Linked DNA regions of Caenorhabditis elegans. The protein of the gene in region 1 interacts with the protein of each later gene in a pairwise test. Each region holds a gene or a part of one and is shown in the gene's direction. Other genes may lie near its edges.

Region 1 (10,875 bases):
AGAAACTACGAATTTAAGTAGAGGCGCTTATGAATTATTCAGATATTTTTTCTATAATAAGCATGGGGAAATGGGTAGCTGTTAGCAAAAAAATCGTCAAAAACTCATGGTTTCAGGTCTTGGCACGAGCGTAACTGTTTAGCCACCGTACCCGTGATGTTATTCAATTTTTCGTTCCATTTGTTTTCGAAAATGGGTTATAATTATATGTAAAGAATTTTTTTCAAAAAAAAATCTTTCTTTGTTTTTGTTGAAAAATTTTAAATTTAATTTTTTTTCTGATGCTCGAAGATAAAAACTAAAATTAGTTTTTTTTAAATTAAAAAATTCTATTAAAAAATAACTTGAAGAATATCAGAAAAACTCTATTATCGTTTTACAGAAAATAGATTTAAAGCTAAAAAAAATTCTCGTGGCTGTCCGAATCTCCGTTCTTGCCAGGACCCAAAACCGTGAATTTTGGTAAAACATACATTATTACTGTATGCTGTAACAAAACCGTTCCAAACGACACAAATCAAAAAATGTTCAAAAATCGTAATACAACTACCTCCCCTCAATACTAGAAATACTAATAGTAACATTCGAGGGAAAACGGATGAGATAGGAGGTATTGTAGAGAGAAGAGAGTTAGAGGACGTGTGGTAATAAAATTATGCGTCGTCCTATACCTGTCACTGTTCTTCTTCTTATTCCTTTTACCACCTCTTCGGCAGCATGAATGGTAGTTTGCATAATTTGATGACCTCAAACAAGGAGGGCAGCCGCCTGCCACCTACACACTTTACACGGTTTCAGATTTTTTCGAAATTTTTGAAATTGTACTTGGTCTTGAGAATGAAAATATACAATATACACGTGGTGTCAGAGTGTCTCATATTCGCCGTAGATCTACGTAGATCTACAAAAAATGCGGGAAAAGAGACGCAGAGTTCTCACCTCATTTCGCATGGTTAAGAACGTGCTGTCGTCACATTTTTTTGAGCAAAGAATTCCCGCATTTTTTTTGTAGATCAGACCGTGATGGGACAGCCTGGCCCCACGTGCGTAAACGGGAAAACTCGAGAGCCAAAATTTTGAAGGGGTCTATATTTTCTCATTTAGATCTGCAATTTTCTGCCTCCCAAAATTAGAGTCTTGTCGTAAATTTTTTAGTTTTTGTCTTCATTCTTAATAATAGGCCCAAATTAAAAACGTCTTTACCACTGCTAAATCGATTAACAGTACAGAAAAAAGTCGAGTATGTAAGATATATCACGTAAAATCCAAACCGTACGAGATATATCTGGGGAATGTCAACTTATGTTTGACAATGTGCAAATACAAGTTCTTGAGATTGTTGCTCCGAGAGCCGAAGGGGGGGGGGGGGGTCAATTGATTTCTGATCGGATTTAGACTCAAGTGAGAAATTATGAAAACCAAGGGAAAAATGCATTTACAGCACCGATAAATATATTGAGCTGTATTTAATTTTGGGGTTTAAACGGCAAAATGTGCAATTTTTTTAGAATGTCAATCGATATACTGTGTATTTTCCCAAAACTACCGATTTTCGTAATGAGACGTTATGAAATTTTCTCAAAAAAAAGTTAGATGCGGTTCAAAGTTTGGCAAAAAAAGGCCAATTTTCAGCTAAAATCAAAATTTTTGCCAACTTCTCAGTGTCACACGCTGCCACGCCGAGAAGTTGTCAAATGTTTTGATTTTAGCTGAAAAATTGCCTTTTTTCCAGAACCTTGAACCGACATAATTTTTTTTTGAGAAAATTTCATAACGTCTCATTACGAAATTCGGTAGTTTTGGGTCATTTTAGGACTAAAAACGCAAATGCTCAGATTTCGGTACTCCACATTTAAAGTCGTAGAAGTGGAAATAAATACACAATATATTCTCTGAATCTGAATTCTTAGCCTAGTTTTGATGATGTAAAAGGCCGTGCAAGTTAAGAATACGGGGGAGTGACTCTAAAAATATACAAAAACGAACTTCTTCCTGCACTTCTTTTTTTTTTGAAAAAAGCGAGATCGTAAACTAAAACAAACAATACACATTTTTTTGCAAAACGCGCAAGTGTCAAATTTTTTATTATTTTTCCGCACGGAAACGCCTGATATGCGGAAACTATGCGAGCGAAAAAAAATAATCATTTGCGCGCATGCATATATATATTTGCAATAAGAAGCTAGACAATGCTCGTGGAATTGAAGAGACGCAGATTGTCAAATGATTCGAATATATACATCTGGCAGGTGGTTTCTCAAAGGAAAGACAGAGAGAGAGAGAGGGGACTGAGCACCAGATGTTGTCAGTTTTCAATGGACATTTATTGTGACAAGTGACCCATTGCCTAATTGAGGAGTTTACCCGTGTTCGGAGCTCAATAAACTTGCTCCGGATAAAGTTTTCAAAAAAAAATTGTGTGACTAACCATCGAATAATTGAAGGTTTTTGTGGTACGAGCAATGGTGTCGGGTTTTAAAAAATATTCGAATAAATGTTCCACATTTTAAACTTTAAAACTAATAAAAACAATTTTTTGGAACAATTTAGAAATATCCGGATATTATTGAAAATTTTGATCGTTTTTTGAAAAACGTCAAAAAAAGATTTTTTCCATCGAAATCAGAATTTTTTAGTAAATTTTATAGTTCAAACAGTAAATCAAAAAACCGTTTTTTCGAAAAGTTTCAGAAATGACCGATTTTGAATTCCTGAAAATTGGGTGATAATTTTAAAATCTAAAAAATCTAAGAAAAACCGCCGATTAAATAAATCATTGTGATTGCCAACGATAAAATACACTTTTCCCCGGTGACAGTTGACAGAAATGGTGAAAAGAAAACGGAAAAAGACCGAAATGAAGACGTCTCCCGCTGGGAAAACGACAACTTTTTGGCTGATTGACAGAAAACGGAACGAACGGAATTGGAAAATGAAAACTGAAAGGATAAGATGGGATAATAGGCATTTAGAGGTGAAGTTATTATTTCTGTTCTAGAGATCTTGGTCGTAAATCACTAAAAAGTCGGAATCGATCAAAGTGATAAAGAACTTTGAACGTTTTGTTACTCAGAGATGCTCAAACAAATATTTGTCACATTTTTCTATGCTGCTGGGAGAAAAAATTGTGAAAAAATACAAAAAATTAAGACTAATTTCAGAAAATTTTCGAAAATAAAATAAATACACGCAAGAAATGACTACTGTACTTCACTTTTCCCGCAATTTGACGTGATGTTGTTTGCGGATTCTGCATACACTTTCACGGCAAATTGCGGAATTTTAAAATTTTCCTATTTTTTGTTTTAATTTCTCTCCGTTTCTTTCGATTTTCTAGCTTTAATTCACATATTTAGAGTAATAATTCGTATTAAATATCTTAAACAATCGGAAAAAAAACGAGAAAAAACCTTTTGAGCTTTGAAATGCCGCGTTTCTGCCGTAGCCCATAAAAAATTCATTAAAAAACTTACGATCTACTAATCAAAACGGCTTCAAACACAAATGTTTCCGTTTCTCTCTCACTTTATCCCAAAACTGGACACCGATATACACTTTGAACAAAAAAGTACATAAATCGATAAGAAACCGGGTTGCGGAAGGCGTCAAGTTCATTTGAAGTTGTGCCGACACATTATGTCAGTTTTTGGGTTGAAAAAGTGTTCGGGGAGGTGAGAAAAATTGAAAAGCCCGCCGAAAATTTGCAATTTCGAGACGAGGGACTCGAAAAAAGTGTTTGAGGACGAGAAAACACGGAGGCACCCGAGCTAGGCCATGATTTATTTAAATATATTTTTCGAACGCTCCCAGCCCATTTTGCTCGTTTTATTCATTTATTTTAATGATTTCTAACCTATTTATCAATAAAAATGAAAAAATAAATTGTCAGATGGCCGAACCAGCACAGGAAACACCGTGCTTCTCAATGGAAAAGGCCGAACGGGCATTTCTCGATGGAAACTTCGAGGAGGCACTCAAACATTTCTTCGTCTGCATACGAATGCTACCAGTAGAACGACGTGGAGTCTATGAAGATCAGTTTGCTGCAGCTCTTCATGGTATTATAAGGAAAAACGTGTAATTTTCTGTTAAAAAAACTAATTTTTTTGCAGGCTGGATTGCGCTGGACCACAACAATGCTTCCCGGGCTGTCTGCCTTTATCCACAAATCAAGGAATTATTCCCGGAAACGATTCGAACGAAAATCGCTCTGATTCGTGCTGTACAAGGAACCGAGCAGAGTAAATGGCTTCTGAATTGCCTGCCGATTTGCAAAGATTCGATGGATTTGGCGACGAAACCAGAGGATTTGGTGGCTTTGAGGATTGCACGTGTCAATTTAACCACAATTCCATTCCCACAGTGGCATATTCGAATGATCAATGATGTGGTAATTAAAAACCGCTAGCATTGAATTTATTCCTGGAAAAAAATGTATCCAAACGGAATCGCAACAGCGAATTTTTAAGAAAATAGAGCTCAAATTCGAAATTTTTGAAGAAAAAGTGATAAATTCAGCTAAAATCTCAAATTTTGCTAATTTGTAGTTAATTTTTATTTATTTTGGTACACTTTCAGTCGATAGTTTCCCAAACACTGAAAATACACCTAGAATTTTATTAAAACTGGTAATAAACTACTAAAACATGCGGAAAAAGCAATAAAAACGAATTAAAGTCAGCTCAGACACGTAAAAAATGGAGAATTTGAAGACTTTATGCTAAATTTAGTTCTAGTAATGAAATTCGGACATTTTTAAAGAATTCGATACCCCTCATTTAATGCAAAAAAAAGTTAAAATTATTCAGAAACTACGTTTGATTGAGGAATAACGGATCAGAAAAGTCCCTCAAATTCAAAATTTCAAAGAAAAAGTGCTGAGTTTAGCTGAAATTTTCAATTTTGCCAGTTTGAAGCCGCCGAAAATCAGTTTTTATTGGATTTTCACTCTTCACCGAGTTTTTTCGTCGTTTAGTATCCCTAAATCAGCATAAAAACGCGTAAGAAACAACCAAAATATGCAATAAAAAGTGATAATTTAATAAAATCGAATTTAAATCCGCTGTTAAACGTAAAAATTAGCTGAATTTTAGGATTTTAGCTAAATTGAGCTTTAAAAATTTTAAATTAGTCTTTTAAACTGCAAAATAATTTCAGAAACGAAACGAAGCGTTTGCCAAAGCTCTAAACGACACTATCAAGAGCAGAATCACAGTTGTCTTCGATATTGGATCCGGTACTGGTATTTTATCGGCTATTGCTGCGAGGTAAGACTTTCAAAAAAAAAAATTAAAATTAAATTATAAATATTCTTTTTTCCAGAAAAACCAACTTGGTGACCGCTCTCGAAGAAAATATGTGCCTGACAATGATTTCTAAGGAGGTTTTAAAGAGAAACGGTGTTGAAAGTCGTGTTAATGTTCACGCAAAGAACTCGACATACTTTGAAACTTGTGAAAAAGCCGATATAGTCGTTTCCGAAACTCTCGATTGCTGTGTATTCGGAGAAAAAATTGTAGAGACTTTCTTGGACGCTCATGTTCGTTTTTCACATGACAGAACTATCTTTATTCCGCATCAGGTAACAATTTGGAATTCCGTATTTTCAAGAGAATTCTACGATGAATAATATGTTTTCTGAAAGCTAACAGATTGAAAATTCCGAATTCAGTATGAAATTTCAGTTAATTTAATTTTTTTAAATAAGAAGTACCGAAATCTGGGAAATATTTTCGAATGACTTCAAATTTTCCCCTCATTCTGAATATCTAAGTGAAAAAAATTCAAAAATAGTTTTATATTTCAGCTTAAAATCGCGAATTTTCATTTGCGTCCTCATGAGATATCCAAATTTTCGCGCCAGAGACGCCATGTGTATATTTACGAGATTTTCAATATTTATCGGATGATGATTTCAGTTTTTCAACGAGTTTCCTTCATTTTCGTCGGTTTTTGCCAATTTTTTTTTTGAAAATGTGTGTTCTTGAAGTCAATTAACCATTATATCATCAAAAACCTGACAAATTTTTCGTTTTTTGATGATATAATGTTTAATTAACCTAAAAACACATTTTCCTTTAAAAAACTTTTGCAAAAACCGACGAAAATGAAGGAAACTCGTTGAAAAACAAAATAAGCATCCGATAAAGATTGGAAATCTCGTAAATATACACAAATCTCGTAAATCGACACATGACGTCTCTGGTGCGAAAAATCGGCATTTGAAAATCTTGATTTCACGCTAAAATCAGGGAATTTTTTTGAATTTTTTCACATAGAATTCGGAATCTGGGGAAAATTTGAAGTCCTTTAAAAAAATATTTATAAGATTTCGGTGCTCAACCTTTAAAACGAATCGATCAGGGGTGTGCGGCAAATTTGCCGAATTTGCCGTTTGCCGAGCTCGGCAAATTTCAAAAAAGTAGATTTGCCGAATTTGCCGAGCTTGGCAAATTTCGAAATTTGCCGCACACGTCAAAAATTTGACAGTACAATTTTGACTAAAACTGTTGATTTTTTCGCCAAAAATTTAGTAAAATGACAACAAATTGAGTTATTTTGATGTTTAAGCAGACACACTACACCTAACTTGTTCAGAAACCAGAGGTGTGTTAAGAATTCAGTAGTTTTGGTGCTCCAAAAAATATCAAAAAATATATAATTTTTCCGAGTTTGTTAAGCACGGCAAATTTGCCGAATTTGCCGAGCTCGGCAAATTTTGAGATTTGCCGCACACCCCTGGAATCGATGATGGATCGGGGAGTTCTCGTTTTGGACGAAATCAGAGAAATTATTGTTATTCGGAATTTTAGAATATTTTTATTTTATTTTTAGAAGCGAAATTCCCATAATATCAAAATTGAAAAAGGTTTAGCTCTCAGAGAAATACAATTTGTTCTATAATCCTCTTGAAAGCATTCTGATTCCCTAATTTAATATAACTTTATTCATTTCCAGGCTACCGTCTACGTCCGTCTCTTCAGTTGTCGTGAAATCTTCGATATTCATTGTCAAGACTACGGAGGAGTTCGTTATCGATCCGAATACGTGAAAATTGGCGAATCAGATGCCGAACAACCGTACTGGTGTGCATCAGCTGCAGATTACTCTCAATTTGAACTTCTTTCTGGTTCAGTAGCCATGCATTCGGTCGATTTTAGCAGTATTGCCAATTTGAAGGATTCACTTGCCAACTCGAATTCTTTCAAAATTCGACCGGCGAAAGATGGAGTAGCACACGGATTTTCTGTCCATTTCACGTGAGATTTACTCTTTAAAAAACTTAAATTAATTTTGAAATATTCTAAACTTTCAATTTTAAGATCTGATCTAACTGGTCACGGAGACAATATCATTGACTCGTCAAAATCAAGAGCATGGGATCTTGGAATTATTCCATTCAAGGAACCATGTTTGGTGAAGTGTGATAAAGAATATGAAGGATCATGGAAACTCTTGAATAATCGATTGGATGTGTACAATGATTTTGTACGTTGTTTTTGTCGATTTACTCGATTTTGCACTTTTAAATGCAAGAAAAATTGATAGAGTTCGAGAAAATCCGATTTGAAATGTCGAACAGTTTTGGAAGTTTTACGAAATTTTTCAAAATTGAAATCTATAGGATTTCAGAGAAAATCAGAAAACTTCGGAAAAGAAAGAATCGAAGTACGAAAATTTTCGATTTTCCGGAAAACCAAAAAAAAAAAAGCAAAGAAAAATGCAGAAAATTTATATTAAAATTTAATATTTATCAAATTTTATTTATTTTGATTAAAAAAAAAAACATAAGAAAACAGATATTTATTCTTTAAAAAAATTAGAAAAATACCCAAATTTTAATATGTTTTCCGAAAAATACAAATTGTTTTCGAAATATCGGAAAAACAAGAATGTTTCGATTATTCGACTTTAGCAACATAAAAACCGTGCAGAAAAACGTAATTTTTCTGAAAATAAAATTATAAATCGAAAAAAAACTAAAAATTGTTGATTTTCCGAAAAATCTAATAAAAAAATGTTCAGAAAATCGAAAAACCGAAAATTCCGATTCCTTTTTTCAAAAATCGAAAATTTTTCGTTGTTCGATTTTGAAATTTCTCTAGGATTAAAAAAAAGCGAAAAGATTTCAATTTTAGAACTTTATAAAATTTGTTTTCAGTACGACGAAAATCTTCAAAAGCACGAGGACAGTCTTCGCTACGAGACCGCTTCACTGGATCAACTTCAGAAAATCCGTGATGATAGTTATTTCAAGGCAATGATGGGAGAAATTGATCCGATTGAACTTCCATTTACTCGTGATATTTCATCGAGTATTCCAGCTCAGTGTGTGCTTAATACTGTGGAAAGCCAAACGCCTATAAGGCATCTTATTAGTATGTCAGAAATTTTTAGAAATTATTATTTGATAATTAAACGCTCCTAAATTATGGAAAAGTCAATTCATTTTCGGAAATTTGAAAAAATTCGAAAAAAAACGTTTCTAAAAATTTGTTAGATTTTCGAAAACAAAAATCGATAAATCTTTTTGAAAAATCTATGCACTTTGAAAGTTCTAAAATAAATTTTCGGTGAAATCGACGAATTTCAGAGAAATTGAACACTTTTCTAGGAAAAAGAGGTACATTTTCATTAAAAAATGATAAATTTCGAAAAAAAAATTTGAAAAATATCTAGAAGCAATCGATAAATTTTTTGGAAAAAAAAAAATTTCAGAAAAAACCGACTCATTTTCTGGATAGAAAGAAACAATTTTAGAAGAAAAAAAATTGATTGATTCTCAGAAATTTTTTAAAAATATCGATTAATTTCCGGGAAAAAATTTTTTTTCAGAAAATTTCTTTAAAAAATCGATCAATTTTCTGGAAAAAAAAAACATTTTCAGAAAAAAGCGATAATAATTAAAAAAAAAAAGAAATTTTCGGAAAAAAAAGATTAATACTCAAAACGAAAATTTTAATCGAAAAATGTTCGAAAAAAATTTATTAAAACTCCGAATTAACTTTTACTTATTTGCAGCTAACTTCTGTCGCTACGACGGTACATTGGATCAAGAGACATTCTTCCGAATAGAAGAATTCGTTGGATTCCGAGATCACGTTCAAAAGATTGTTCCAACAAAATTCCGTATTCTTGGACATCTCTTCTATTCAGATAGAGTTCATTTCGATGCTCGACCAGATCCTTCAGCTCATTGTCAAGTCGATTTGAGTACTGTTCGAAGTTTTAATCTTCGAGAGATGCGTGATATTAGATTAACTCAACGAGAAGATATTGTGATGGCTTCGAAGGAATTCGTGTTATACGACTTTAATATTAGCGCTGAAAAGTTCCGACAGGACACATATATCACTGTAACACAGGACGTTACGGTAAGAATAATACCTATGATTGCTGAATAAATTTAGAAATAGCCTTGAAACACGGAATTTTATAATGAAACATCTGCTAAAATTCGAAGAAAATTTTTTGCGGCTCAAAATTTAGGAAAAAAAAGACTAAACCTCTTAAAATTTAAAGTTTTGCTAATTTTGTTGCAACTGTCGTAATTTAATTTTTATTACTTTCGATTTTATCCTTTTTGCAGAAATTTAGCGTTTTTTTCGTTGATATCGGGGACTCTAGGGTTAAAAAAAAAGACAAAAATCGGAAGAAAAAATTTCCGGCAATTTCGGCGATTGCCGGTTTTGTGAATTTCCGGCAATTGGCAATTGCCGGTTTTGTGAATTTTCGGCAATTACGGCAATTGCCGGTTTTTAAGATTTCTGGCAATATCGGCAATTGCCGGTTTCGAGAATTTTCGGCAATTTCGGCAATTGCCGGTTTTCAAAACTTCCGGCATTTTTTAAATTGCCGGTTTTGAGAATTTCCGGAAATATCGGCAATTGTCGGTTTTCAAAAATTCCGGCAATTTCGGCAATGGCCAGTTTTGTGAATTTTCGGCAATTCCGGCAATTACCGCGTACCCATGTTGTGTAATAGATTTTTAAAATAGAGTTTTTGAAAATAATTTTGGATTTTTTTTGAAATTTTCTGTAAAGTTCGAAAAGGTTTTTTTCTAGAAGCTGAAATTCGACAACAAATTTAAACCTTTTTTTTTTCAGAAAATCGAAAATTTTGACTCTTCGAATTTTAGGAAATCTTGTTTCGAATTTTAAGCGAAAGTTATTTATTATTAATTTATTATTAAGCCAACATTCAAATTTAATTTTTTTTTTTCAGGTTCAACCAACTCGCCCCATCGCCGACGGTGTCATCTATGAATTCGAAATCCTGGGAATCAGAAACACGAAACTTCGTCCGGTTGCCGCGTTCCTTTTCCCGGAAAGAGTGAATACTAATCCAGATGTACGGGTTTTTTTCCACGAAAATTGATTTATTTAAATTAAAATCGTTCATTTTCAGATGACAGTGGTATTCGATTTGCATCTCGGTGAAATGCTCATCTCGCTCAAAGATCTTCCATAAATTGTCGAATTTCTTCAATTTCATCAACAGTTTCTCACAAACAATTCAACAATCGATATCAATTAATTCTATTTTTTTCTAAATTTTCTTACTTATCTAAATCTCGGACCCCATTATTTCCCTTCTTTCCAAAATTTTTCTCATTGCACTGATAATTATTAAGGCTGGGTTTTCTTAAAATTTTAAAATTTAAACTCAAATTCACTCCCAAATATTGTAGGATCTAACTATTCCACTATTCTGTTAAATTCCCGATTCCTCCAACTTTTCGTTGCCTTTTCTATTTATTACTTTTTTATTTTATTTGTTGATACCTTTGATTTGAATCAGCTACTACCTGAATGATTACTTTCTTTCAATACCATTTCTCGTTAAAACACGCAATAAATCTCAGTTTCTCAATAC
Region 2 (10,992 bases), 1.2 Mb from region 1:
AGACATCGGTCTCGCGACGATGGGTCTCACCACGATGGGTCTCGCCACGATGGGTCTCACCACGATGGGTCTCGCCACGACGGGTCTCACCACGATGGGTCTCGCCACGATGGGTCTCACCACGATGGGTCTCACCACGACGGGTCTCACCACGATGGGTCTTACCACGATGGGTCTCATCACGACGGGTCTCACCACGGTGGGTCTCGCAACGATGAGTATCACCACGACGAGTCTCACCACGATGGGTCTCACCACGATGGGTCTCGCCACGACGGGTATCGCCACGATGGGTCTCACTACGGTGGGTATCGCAACGATGGGTCTCACCACGATGGGTCTCGCCACGATGGGTCTCACCACGATGGGTCTCACCACGATGGGTCTCGCCACGACGGGTCTCACCACGATGGGTCTCGCCACGATGGGTCTCACCACGATGGGTCTCACCACGAAGGATGACAGACCCCGCCCACAATTCTCAGTGACTTTGGGTGTGACGTCACAGACTACAAAGACTACATAGACTATTTTTAAATTGATATTTATTTATTTAATTAATTAATTAATATTTTTTTATTTATTTAATTAATATTTATTTATTTATTTAAATAATATTTATTTATTTATCATTTACTATATATAAAGCGCGTGTCCTTCTGTCCCTATGTAGTTTGATCTTTGATCAGAGCAACGAAATTTTGGGAAACCTTATGTTAAGTGCGCAGCAGACATCGATCGAGGTCCGCGATAGACACCGTATATCTAATGTGTTTTCTCAAAAAGTCGGGGGCCCGTCGTAGGTGCGGTCCACGGCTGGTAGAACATATAGTTTTTCCTGTGGTTTTCCAAGAGTTCTGGGGAAATGAGACGAATTTTGTGCGAAAATTCAGGTTTTTTTGAGTTCTTAAATCCATCGTGCCGACACCCAACTATCGAAGTTTATTAAATTTTCAACAAAAAATCACTAAATTGTCACTGCGAGACCCGATAAAACCCACCCGGCAGTCCCAATTAAAATCAATTTTTCCGTTTCACTGGATTTATAAAATATGTTTCTCGAAAATTACTATTTACTGGATTGATAAGATGCAAGAGTGTTTCTAGAACAGATCGGATTCAGGTTCTGGCACGAAAAAAATTTTCTAAGCTACAGTACCCATGAGTACTGTAAAAAATTATTTTTATTTCTTTATGTTCAGTAATTTCTAAAAGTAAAAAAAAACATAAAAACGTTATATACTTTCGTGTGATAAGATCTAAGAGCAAGCGTATTGAGAAACCCTGCAAATTTTCTACCGTACTCTTGGGTACGGTAGCTGAAAAAAAAAGCGCTCGTTGCGAGACCTCAATCTGCAATTTTTCAGCGCTGCTTTTTACAGAAAAATAATAAGCTTCCATTTGCAACTCGTCTTCGGTATTATTATATTTCAAAAATAATGAAAAATTGCAAAATATTAATATTGGGTACTGTAGCTGCAAAGTTTCAATCGTTTCGAGACCCAGTACCGTGCTTTTTCTTCAAAAATCGCCAACTTGCGCATCTGAATAATTCGTTAAGCGCCTTTAAACGGGGATTACTGTTTTTTATTACATATTCATTTTCCGTGTTCCCAAAAAAATTTAGCAGCAATATAATTGATTAAATTAGCAGTAGTACAAAAATTTGAAACAAAAACCACAAAAAGTCGTTGCGACACTCGATAAAACCCGCCCGGCAGTCCCAATTAAAATCAATTTTTTTCCGTTTCACTGGATTTACAAAAAATGTTTCTCGAAAATTACAACAATAAAACGAGAACTGGCATGATACTTTTGAAAAAAAAATTCTCAGCTACAGTACCCATGAGTACTGTAGAAATTTATTTTTATTTTTGGTTTCTTTCTGTAGTTTTTGATTTTCAGTTATTTCTTGGGGTAAAAAAACAAAAAAATATTTAATTTGGTGTGAAAAGAGGAAACGTATTGGGAAACACTACAAATATTCTACCGTACTCTTGGGTACGATAGCTGAAAAAATTTCGCTCGTTGCGAGACCCCAATCTGCAAATTTTCAGCGCTTCCGCTTGCAACGCGGCTTCGGTAAAATTTTTGAAAATTTTAAATACAAAAACTACATATGACTTTATTGAAAATCTTGAAAAAGGCCAAATTCCTTTTTAAATAAACGTGGAAAATTGCGAAATAATATTTGTGGGTACTGTAGCTGCAAAGTTTAAGTCGTTTCGAGACCTACTACCGTGTTTTTACTTTAAAACTTGCAAACTTGTACATCTGAGTAATAGCGCCTTTAACCCCGGATTACTGTAGTCTATATTTTATTACACATTCGTCATTTTCCGTGCTCCCAAAAAGTTTAGCTACAATAGAATTGATTAAATTAGCAGTAGCACAAAAATTTGCAACAAAAATCACAAAAAGTCGGTGCGAGACCCGTTAAATCCAGTCCCAATGGAAATACGATTTTTTTTCCGTTTCACTGAATTTATAAAAAATGTTTCTCGAAAATTACAACTGGATTAATTTAATAAGCAGTGCGACATGAGCAAAATTTTCTGAGCTACAGTACTCATGAGTACTGTAGGAATATATTTTTTGTTAATTTTTGGTTTTTTTCTTCTTTAGGTAAAAAAAAACAAAAAACTATTAACTTTCATGTGAAAATATCAAACGTATTGGGAAACCCTACAAATATTCTACCGTACTCTTGGGTACGGTAGCTGGAAAAAATTCGCTCGTCGCGAGACCTCAATCTCGCATTACTGTATCTTATTACACATTCGTCATTTTCCGAGCCCCAAAAAAAGTCCCTAACAACATTTCGCAACTCTAGTACTCCTTATCACTTGAAAAAAAAATAGTAGACTACATCTTATCAACATGTTTTTTGGTTACTTGACAGGTATACTGTAGTAGTGCAGTAGAGCGCACTTGGCTGCGTGGAGGGACCCAGGACCAATTTAAAGCTTGTGAAGCGAGGATAATCCTTTGATGACGCTTCTTCTTCTTCTTCACATGCATATTCATATATTTTTATAGACTATTCTTCTGCTGCAGTACCCTTTCCTGTGTGCTTATTGATTTCCTCTCTCTCTCTCTCTCCATCCCTTTCTCTCTCTCTCAGTCCCCCAATAGATAGATAGACCGGGCCGGGGTGGGCTGAGTGGGTTGTGTGTTGCGTTGCTGGCTCACCCGAACGAAAATGAGGGTGAGTGCGAGAGAGTGCGGAGACGCAGACCTGGTGTCCCTCGGGCACGCTCGCGCACACATATACAGAGTGGTTAGAAGAGTCGTAGACGCCGAGACAGAGAGATCACTACTCTCCGATGAGCGTTTTTGCGCGAGCGAGCGTCCGTGAGCGTGAGTGTTGAGCGGCGGGCACTCTCTCTCTCTTTCTCCTTTCGGGACACAGCGCACATCTTCCCGTCTTTCTCTGTTTTTCTCTAGCTGTCTCTCTCACACGATGCACTCTCCCTCTCTCTCACTACACACAACCCCCATGTTGTTTCTTTTCACATACTTTTTCTCCGTCTTCTCCCCTATTTTTCGTTTTATTCTTCTTATATTTCTATTCAGTTTAGTTTTCATACATATATTTTTGAGTGCGTATGTTGCTGCCCAAATTCTGTTCTTTTACTTTTTCCTTCTAAGTCATCTCCGATCCTTAACCAACTACTCTAATCTAATCAAATCAGTATTCCAGTATTCTCGAGGCACCGAGGATCCATCACGTCATCCATCCCGAACGATCGATCGACGTGTTGTGTTGTCTGTGGTGTGTGAATCGACGCGACGACGAACGGACTGAAGACAGCTTGAAACGGGATGTCTTACGAAATGAATAGTCTCTTCTCGTCGAATCAGCAACCACTCGGAGGGGGACCACCACCTCAACAACAATCACAGCAGCAGCAACAGCCACCACAGTCGTTATGGTCACTCCAACAGTTTTCGCAGATGGGAGGTAAGGAAGCACCCCACCAGTACTCAAAGATCAATATCGATCCGAGCCCCCGATTGTCTAGCTCTAAGTTCAACAATACCTCTCCTACAAGGAAGGCTTTAGTGTGCATCGTATAACGGTACTGGATACGATAACATATATAAAAGTTCATATGCAAATCTTTTAAAAGCGTTAATATGTTTGATTCTTAAGCTTCTGCTTTATAACCATTGTGAAACAGTACTTTTTTGTTCGTGTGCACCATAGGACTAAAGGACTAGAGTTACTATAAATGTACTCCTAGATACCCAGGTTTTCTAGGTTAGACCCTTTAAGGAGTACCGTAGATTTTTAAGAGATCTCGTGTTGTAGTCTTTACAGGATCCGCTTGACTTATTGGTTACTGTAGAGGTACTCGAATCACGGTACTGGATACGTAAGCATATACCGTATTTCGTCTATTAATCGTGATCTCTTTTAGTCTTGCATGCAATACTAAAACAGGAAATTCGGAATTAAATTGGACCAAACAATATTTTTGATTCTCACGCGTTTGCTTTATATCCATTGTGTAACAGTATTTTTTCTGATAATCTAGGTTCACGGGACTAGCCAATTAAAATTATAAAGGTACTCCTAGGAACCTCAAGTTTTCTACGGTAGACCCTTTAGAGGCAGCCGTATCATTTGTGAATATTACGGAATACGGTAGATTTTCAAGAGATCTGGTACTGTAGTTGTAGGATCCGCTCGACATTTAAGGTTTTGTCGGAATGAAATGGTATTACTTTTCCTTCCTACCTGTTAACCTTTATAGATATTATGAAGCAATATTTTGTGAGGGGCCGGGTCCCGCAGCGAAATCATATTTTTTAATAAAAATGTGATTAGCATTACATGCCCCTGTAAAACGGAACCTTACGAAGGCAATGGGTAGTGCAAATGCACTCTACCGAACCAGGTTGCAGTGACTACAGTTATACGGCACACAAATTGCGTACAGGGATCACTTCTCGAGCACCTTGTACCCACGGCCATCATATAACTTCTACGTACCTTAACCTACCGTAGTTTCAACTTTGTGCATTGTGTCAAATGCCTAGGACGCTTATGATTACGCAATTTTTAAAGTACGGTGAGCAATTAGAGGGGACCTAGAATAAATTCGAAACGCACTCCATTTTATAGTTTTAACTTCCATTTCACCCTCCATTCAAATTTTTTCTAGAACAACCTACTAATTGAAAACTGAGGTAAATTTGTCAGGTGCCAATATTTCCGTTAAATTTGAAACAGTAGAATTGTAAACTAATAGTAAAAAGTTAGTGTTCAAACATTCGATCCCGTACCGTAACCTATCGTAGTTTCCACGTTGGGTACTATCAGCGAAAAAACCTAAGATATTCATGATTAAGCAAAAATTCAAAACGAAGTGAGCTCGCATTGCGGGTTCATAATTAATTTTTAGGTTTTAATATTTTTTAAAAATCAAATAGTTGAAACTGCAAAATTTTTTAATTTTTCTCCCAGACATCAGTTTATTTCAGCCCCGGACAACTTTGGGAACCACGCGGTCCCATTCATGCCAACACTCGGAATGCTGAATCAGTACCAGAACCCACATCCACTTCAGATGGTCCCTCCACAGCCTCTCGTCACTCCATCCCAAGTCCTTCCACCGTCTATGGCTGAACAACAGAGAGCCGACACCATCCATGGATTCGGAGTGTTGACTTGGTTGTCTGCCAAGGCTGGTCTGATCACTTGCAAGGACAAGATGATCATCTCGTTCCAGCTCAAGGACTTTTGTGATCAGGTTAGTACAAACCCTTTTCGATTATAAAGTACCTTATAAAATTAGCTAATCTAATTACCCATATGATCTCTATGATCTACCAAGGTTAGCCTCACTTCAACATCTGACAAATTTTCAGATGCTCAATGACTTGACTTCCGTGCTTCGTGTTGGTTTCACATTGTCGTTCCACGCTGCACTCAATGAGACAAGCGAGTACACCGCCACCATTGTCTCACCAATCTATGGTCCCGATGCTGATGTTCTCTTTGCAAACTCCCAAGAAGTCGACCTAGAGGCGGCAAATCCAACTCCACCAAACTCGAAGGATGCCTACTCGCCGGCTCTCGAGCAGAAGGCGATTCCAGCTCTCTTGGCAATTTTCCAACGCCACGGATTGCAGCAGATTCAGCTGAGCAGGTAGGATAGATGTTTTGAAAGTTGCTTGATTGCTAAGTTTCGCTCTTTTGTGCCTCCTTTCTATATATTAACTGACCATTCCCTTGCTCACCTTATTTGTTCGACGGCATCTCCATGACACCCTTCAGGAGTTTCAGCCTTCACTCTCAAATGTCCAACTGTGGGGATGATGAGCTATTCCGTTATGTTGGCACATCATCGTTGAAGCGTCGTCAATTCGTGGAGCGTCGTACTCATCTCTTCCGTCTTCAAAATGATGACTCCATCATTCTTCAGGTAAGCAATTCTTCAGAAGATTTAGATATTCTAAATCTATTCCATTTCAGTATCCAGCAGTGTATCAAGCTGTCTACCAATTGGCATCCTATCTTCTCCGTCGTGGTGGAGCCACATCAATCCAGTCGCTGTTCGACTACTACGGTAGCCCAGACATCATGCCAGAAGTTCGTAGCCATACTGGAGAAGGACGTCAGGACTTCCTCAACCTGCTGACTGCTCACAACTGGGTCTTTGCTCTGTTCCCCAACCGCACCTATGTCTCTGTTCGTCGCAATCTGCCAAACTATGACTATGTCGGATTCATCAAGCAGCACTTCCAAGAAATGGATATTACTCGTTCCCAGCAGATGGCTTACGGACAGCCACCACGTGGAATTCAGAGAACCATGTCGGCTCAGATGGGCAGCTCGTTCGCCACTGGAAGACCACAGAATTTGCTCATGCAGCATCAGGTAAGTATATCCATGATTAGATTAACAACGTAGCGGTTTTTTCCAAAATCACAAAATATTTCACAAGATGATGAAACAGTAGTTATCACTTTCAAATAGTTGAGTTGTGAGGTGAACACTGCAATGCCGTAGAGCTTTGTCGTGCTTGATCAAAAGACACGAATAGTTCTAGAATATCTGTAGCGCTGTAATTTTCAGGAAGCAAATTTTCTGGGGCCACAGTAGATCACCCATCGTTCTACTTTGACAGCCTATATCTCGGGTGTCCTTAGCTTTATCAAAAATTGTTCAACTATAGCGCAAACTTTTGTAAATTTCACAAATTCGTAACTTGACCATGCTCTTCACGTGCTGAAAATTCAAATTTCTATAAACAAAACTACATCTTTTTCAGCACGCCATGACTCCAGCAGCGACCCGCTCGGGCTCCCTCTGGGACTCTCAATCTTCCCTCTCTCAAAGCGGAAACAGTGGAGACCAATGGAGCCCTCTCTTCTCCCCAAGCACCTGGTCGAACAACACCAACGCGAATCCACGTCTCACTTCTCTTACTCCGTTGAGCTCGATGAACGAGACGCTTCTCTCGGGAGTCAACTACAACTCGTTGCTCGCCATGCCGCCAAGCGCCAAGAACGAGAGAAGCATTGGTGTTCAGGCTGATGACTTTTTGGATCGTATGTCTTACAATCCAATTGGACGTACCGGATGCACTTGTCAGTGCCAGTGTGGAAGAGGTGGAGCTGCGATCATTGGAAACACTCGTGGATCCTCTTCCAGAGCTTCTGGAGGATCGGCAAGCCCACCAAGTGCTGACGGTGCCAGCCAGATTGATCGTTTCTCGCCATCCAATCGTAAGTCAAAACTACAATGGGAACTAATTATAAATTTACAATTTTTAGATGCCGGATCAATTGGAGACCGTACTCTTACCGCCGCGGCTCTCGGTGTCGGCCTAGTCGACCAACAGCCAGCAGCCCCAAACCACGATGGTAGTGCTAACCAACCTCAGCGCTACTATGACCCTTTCGGAACCGCCGACTTGCTCAACGGCACCCGTTTGAACTCACTCCGTATTGGTAACTGAGTGATTGTACATACCAAATTTCTTTGTCATACTTCATACCCCATTTTTGATGTTCTTTCGTTTTTTGCTTTTCACCGAGTCTAAACCACACACATATTCACACGCAGTAATTCTAAGTCCCCACCCAACTCATCATCAATCTCTGTTCTCAAAAAATGTTTCTTTCCCTGTTTTTTTCCCTTGAAAAAGTCATCCCATTCACACTCCTCTTCCTCTTCCTCCCTCATTCAAACATGTAATTTTATAGCCGAACGGGTTAGTCAAAGACGCTTGTGCTATAATATGAGATACTTATCAAAATGTTTTTTTTCCGGCAAACCTGGAAACAAGTCGCGTAGAACTTTATCGTTCGGGTTTCGTGTTTTCTGGTGATTTAGTCAGTCTTTTTTTTATTTACTGTTTCTGAAAACACATTTTAAATTTCAAATTTCAAACCCCCATTTCACTTACACGTTTTTGTCTTGCCTTCACTTTTTCTAAGTTCCCCAAAACAATTTTTTTTGCAAAACCTACTCTCTGTGATTCCATTATAGGCAATTTGATAGATAGTGTTACTTACTAGTCATTCTCTTTTTTTCTCTCTCTCACTCACTCAAAAAAAGCTGTGTTACAAGTGCAAAACTCCTCCACTCCAACTCTGGGATCCCAATTTAACAAAAATTCTTGTATTTTCATTCAAAATAATTCGGTAATTCTATGTCTCTCGCTCTCTCCCTTAAAACAGTGATTTTGGTGCATTCATTCAGGTATTTTCACACTCTTTGATCGATTCACACCCACACCCACACACACCACTCCCATTTCTGTCGCAACCCTGTTACGTGTAAAAATTTGCAACCATCCGAATATACATCTATTGTAAACCTGTAAAACCCTACCACAACCCCCCGTACCGTAGAAATTTCAAAATTAGTACTACTTTGGAAAGCGCGACCCGGGAAGCGTCGGCTGCAACACACAGAGCGTTGCTGAGGCTATAGCTGTGATGCGCGCAACTCGGAAAGTGTCGGCTGCAGCACACGGAGTGTGAGAGCAGTTTTCCATAGTAGTTCTTCCCTTAAAACATTTTAAAAAAGTAAAAATCTTCCAAAAAAAAATTAGTCAACTAAATTAGTAGTTTGATGAGCTCTGGTCTTCCTCCATTCACCTCTCTCATTCACACTCTCTCTCTCTCACCTTCTCTCTATGTCTTTCCGTCTCTTGAACACTGTACGCGTCTCAATTTCCAATGATCTGTTTCCCCCCAAAAAATATTTGTCGAGGCTATTACCCCCTTTTTTATTTTTATTTTAATGTTTCAATATATCTTTAAAATCCACCACCATCCTTTGCAATATTATCTTTAAATATCACCTTTTTCCATACCATGTTTGCCTTTTCAACTCCCCTTACTTTTTTACAAGTTGGCTCTCACTCGTTCATTTCTCACCCCCTGTTTGGTACCTGTTTAAACGAAAGTGTCCTTTTCTCTCAACACAAACCACTGCAACTAAAAACCCCAACCCATTCACTCGAGTTTTCCACGATTGCACACGATTTTTAATTTGTGTATCATAATGATTTGATTGTCGGAATTCTTTTTTTTTCAAATGTTTCTCATTATTTTAATAAAACCCCACAAAATCGGATTTTATTGATTCATACTCCACCATCAAAAGTGTATTCAGAAAAATATGAAAATATTTTGCAATGGGTTCATCAATGGCCTCAATTCCAGTTTTACAGTAAAAGAAAATAGACATTTAATTTTAGTGATTTTTTTTCAAAATTCTACTGCTTCAATAATAAGATTTGTTTGTATTGTGGTTCAATGTTGATTCTATGCGAGATCATCTTAAATTAAATTTTAAAGGCTAGGTATATTTCGCAGTCAATTATACAAAATAACATTGTGGAAAACCTTTTTTTGGGGATATTTTTTAAAAATCTATAGGTTTTATAAAAATTCAATTTTACTTGTTTAATTTAGTACTGAATTCATCCAAATTTATTTCGGGTTTTCAAATAATCTAGCACACTTTGAGCAATTTTTCGTAGTCCAAGAAACCAAAAAAATTAGAAAAAAATAATTTTAATAGTCTCATCGAAAGAACGAGGGAACGTACATAATTATTCAGTTGTAGTAAATTTATCGGATAAAATTACTGTTTCATTAACAAAACAGAACACTGTTATGGTCATGTTCAATCTCTTGCAATCTCGTGACTTCCTGCAAAAGTATGTAAGAGAAAAAGTTTAAAAAATGTTTAAAAATTGTAGAAAACGTTAAAAAATATAAAAATATTTTCAGGTTTGCTCGTTCTAGTATTCAATTATGCTCTTGCAGTACAGTCATAATTCTATCAAATGTTTCACATTATTTTAATAAAAACCCACAAAATCGGATTTTATTGAATCATGTAGAATTGTCAAAAGTATATCCAGAAAAATATTAGCATATTTTGTTAAGGAGTCATAATGCCTCAATTCCTGGGCCCAATTCCAGTTTCACAGTGAAAGTAAATAAACATTTAATTTTAGTGAATTTCTCAAAAATTCTACTGTTTCAATAACCATGTATAAGAAACCGTAATAATGGTTAAATGTTTCATGACTCAATTTTTTTTCAATTTTCTTAAAGAGCAATGTGGAAAATCTTATTCGGGGATATTTTTTAAAAATCTGTGAATATAGATTTTATAAAAACTTAATTTTATTTCTTTATTTTATTACTGAATTTCTTCAAACTTATTTCGGGTTTTAAATAATTTAGCTCATCTTGAGCAATTTTTTATAGTCCGAAAAAAAAATAAAAAATTAAATTTTGATGGTAACATCGCAAGAACAAATATTCAAGTTTTACAGTGAAAGTACAAAATTGTTCCATATTTTTGGGTTTTTTTACAAACATCTGTGGATATAGATTTTATAAAAACCCAATTTTATTTCTTTAATTTAGTTAGTACTGAATTTTTCCAGATTTATTTTGGGTTTTCAAATAATCTAGCACATTTTGAGCAATTTTTTATAGTCCAAAAAT

Evidence for each region.
Region 2: the proteins of prmt-9 (region 1) and lin-66 interact in a two-hybrid assay, tested with the Caenorhabditis elegans proteins (one large-scale study listed by BioGRID).

Annotation. Positions count from the first base shown.
Region 1 is NC_003282.8:12,677,393-12,688,267, reverse strand, and holds prmt-9 (PRotein arginine MethylTransferase), read left to right. Parts: upstream 1-3,889; coding exon 3,890-4,058; intron 4,059-4,112; coding exon 4,113-4,390; intron 4,391-5,157; coding exon 5,158-5,267; intron 5,268-5,322; coding exon 5,323-5,581; intron 5,582-6,957; coding exon 6,958-7,259; intron 7,260-7,322; coding exon 7,323-7,488; intron 7,489-8,161; coding exon 8,162-8,378; intron 8,379-9,021; coding exon 9,022-9,374; intron 9,375-10,224; coding exon 10,225-10,350; intron 10,351-10,407; coding exon 10,408-10,470; 3' UTR 10,471-10,870; downstream 10,871-10,875.
Region 2 is NC_003282.8:13,884,386-13,895,377, forward strand, and holds lin-66 (GATA-type domain-containing protein), read left to right. Parts: upstream 1-3,703; 5' UTR 3,704-3,825; coding exon 3,826-3,964; intron 3,965-4,015; exon of another isoform or gene 4,016-4,036; intron 4,037-4,117; exon of another isoform or gene 4,118-4,138; intron 4,139-4,454; exon of another isoform or gene 4,455-4,475; intron 4,476-4,706; exon of another isoform or gene 4,707-4,727; intron 4,728-5,169; exon of another isoform or gene 5,170-5,191; intron 5,192-5,365; exon of another isoform or gene 5,366-5,403; intron 5,404-5,490; coding exon 5,491-5,759; intron 5,760-5,877; coding exon 5,878-6,158; intron 6,159-6,286; coding exon 6,287-6,434; intron 6,435-6,484; coding exon 6,485-6,889; intron 6,890-6,897; exon of another isoform or gene 6,898-6,921; intron 6,922-7,283; coding exon 7,284-7,740; intron 7,741-7,788; coding exon 7,789-7,973; 3' UTR 7,974-9,600; downstream 9,601-10,992.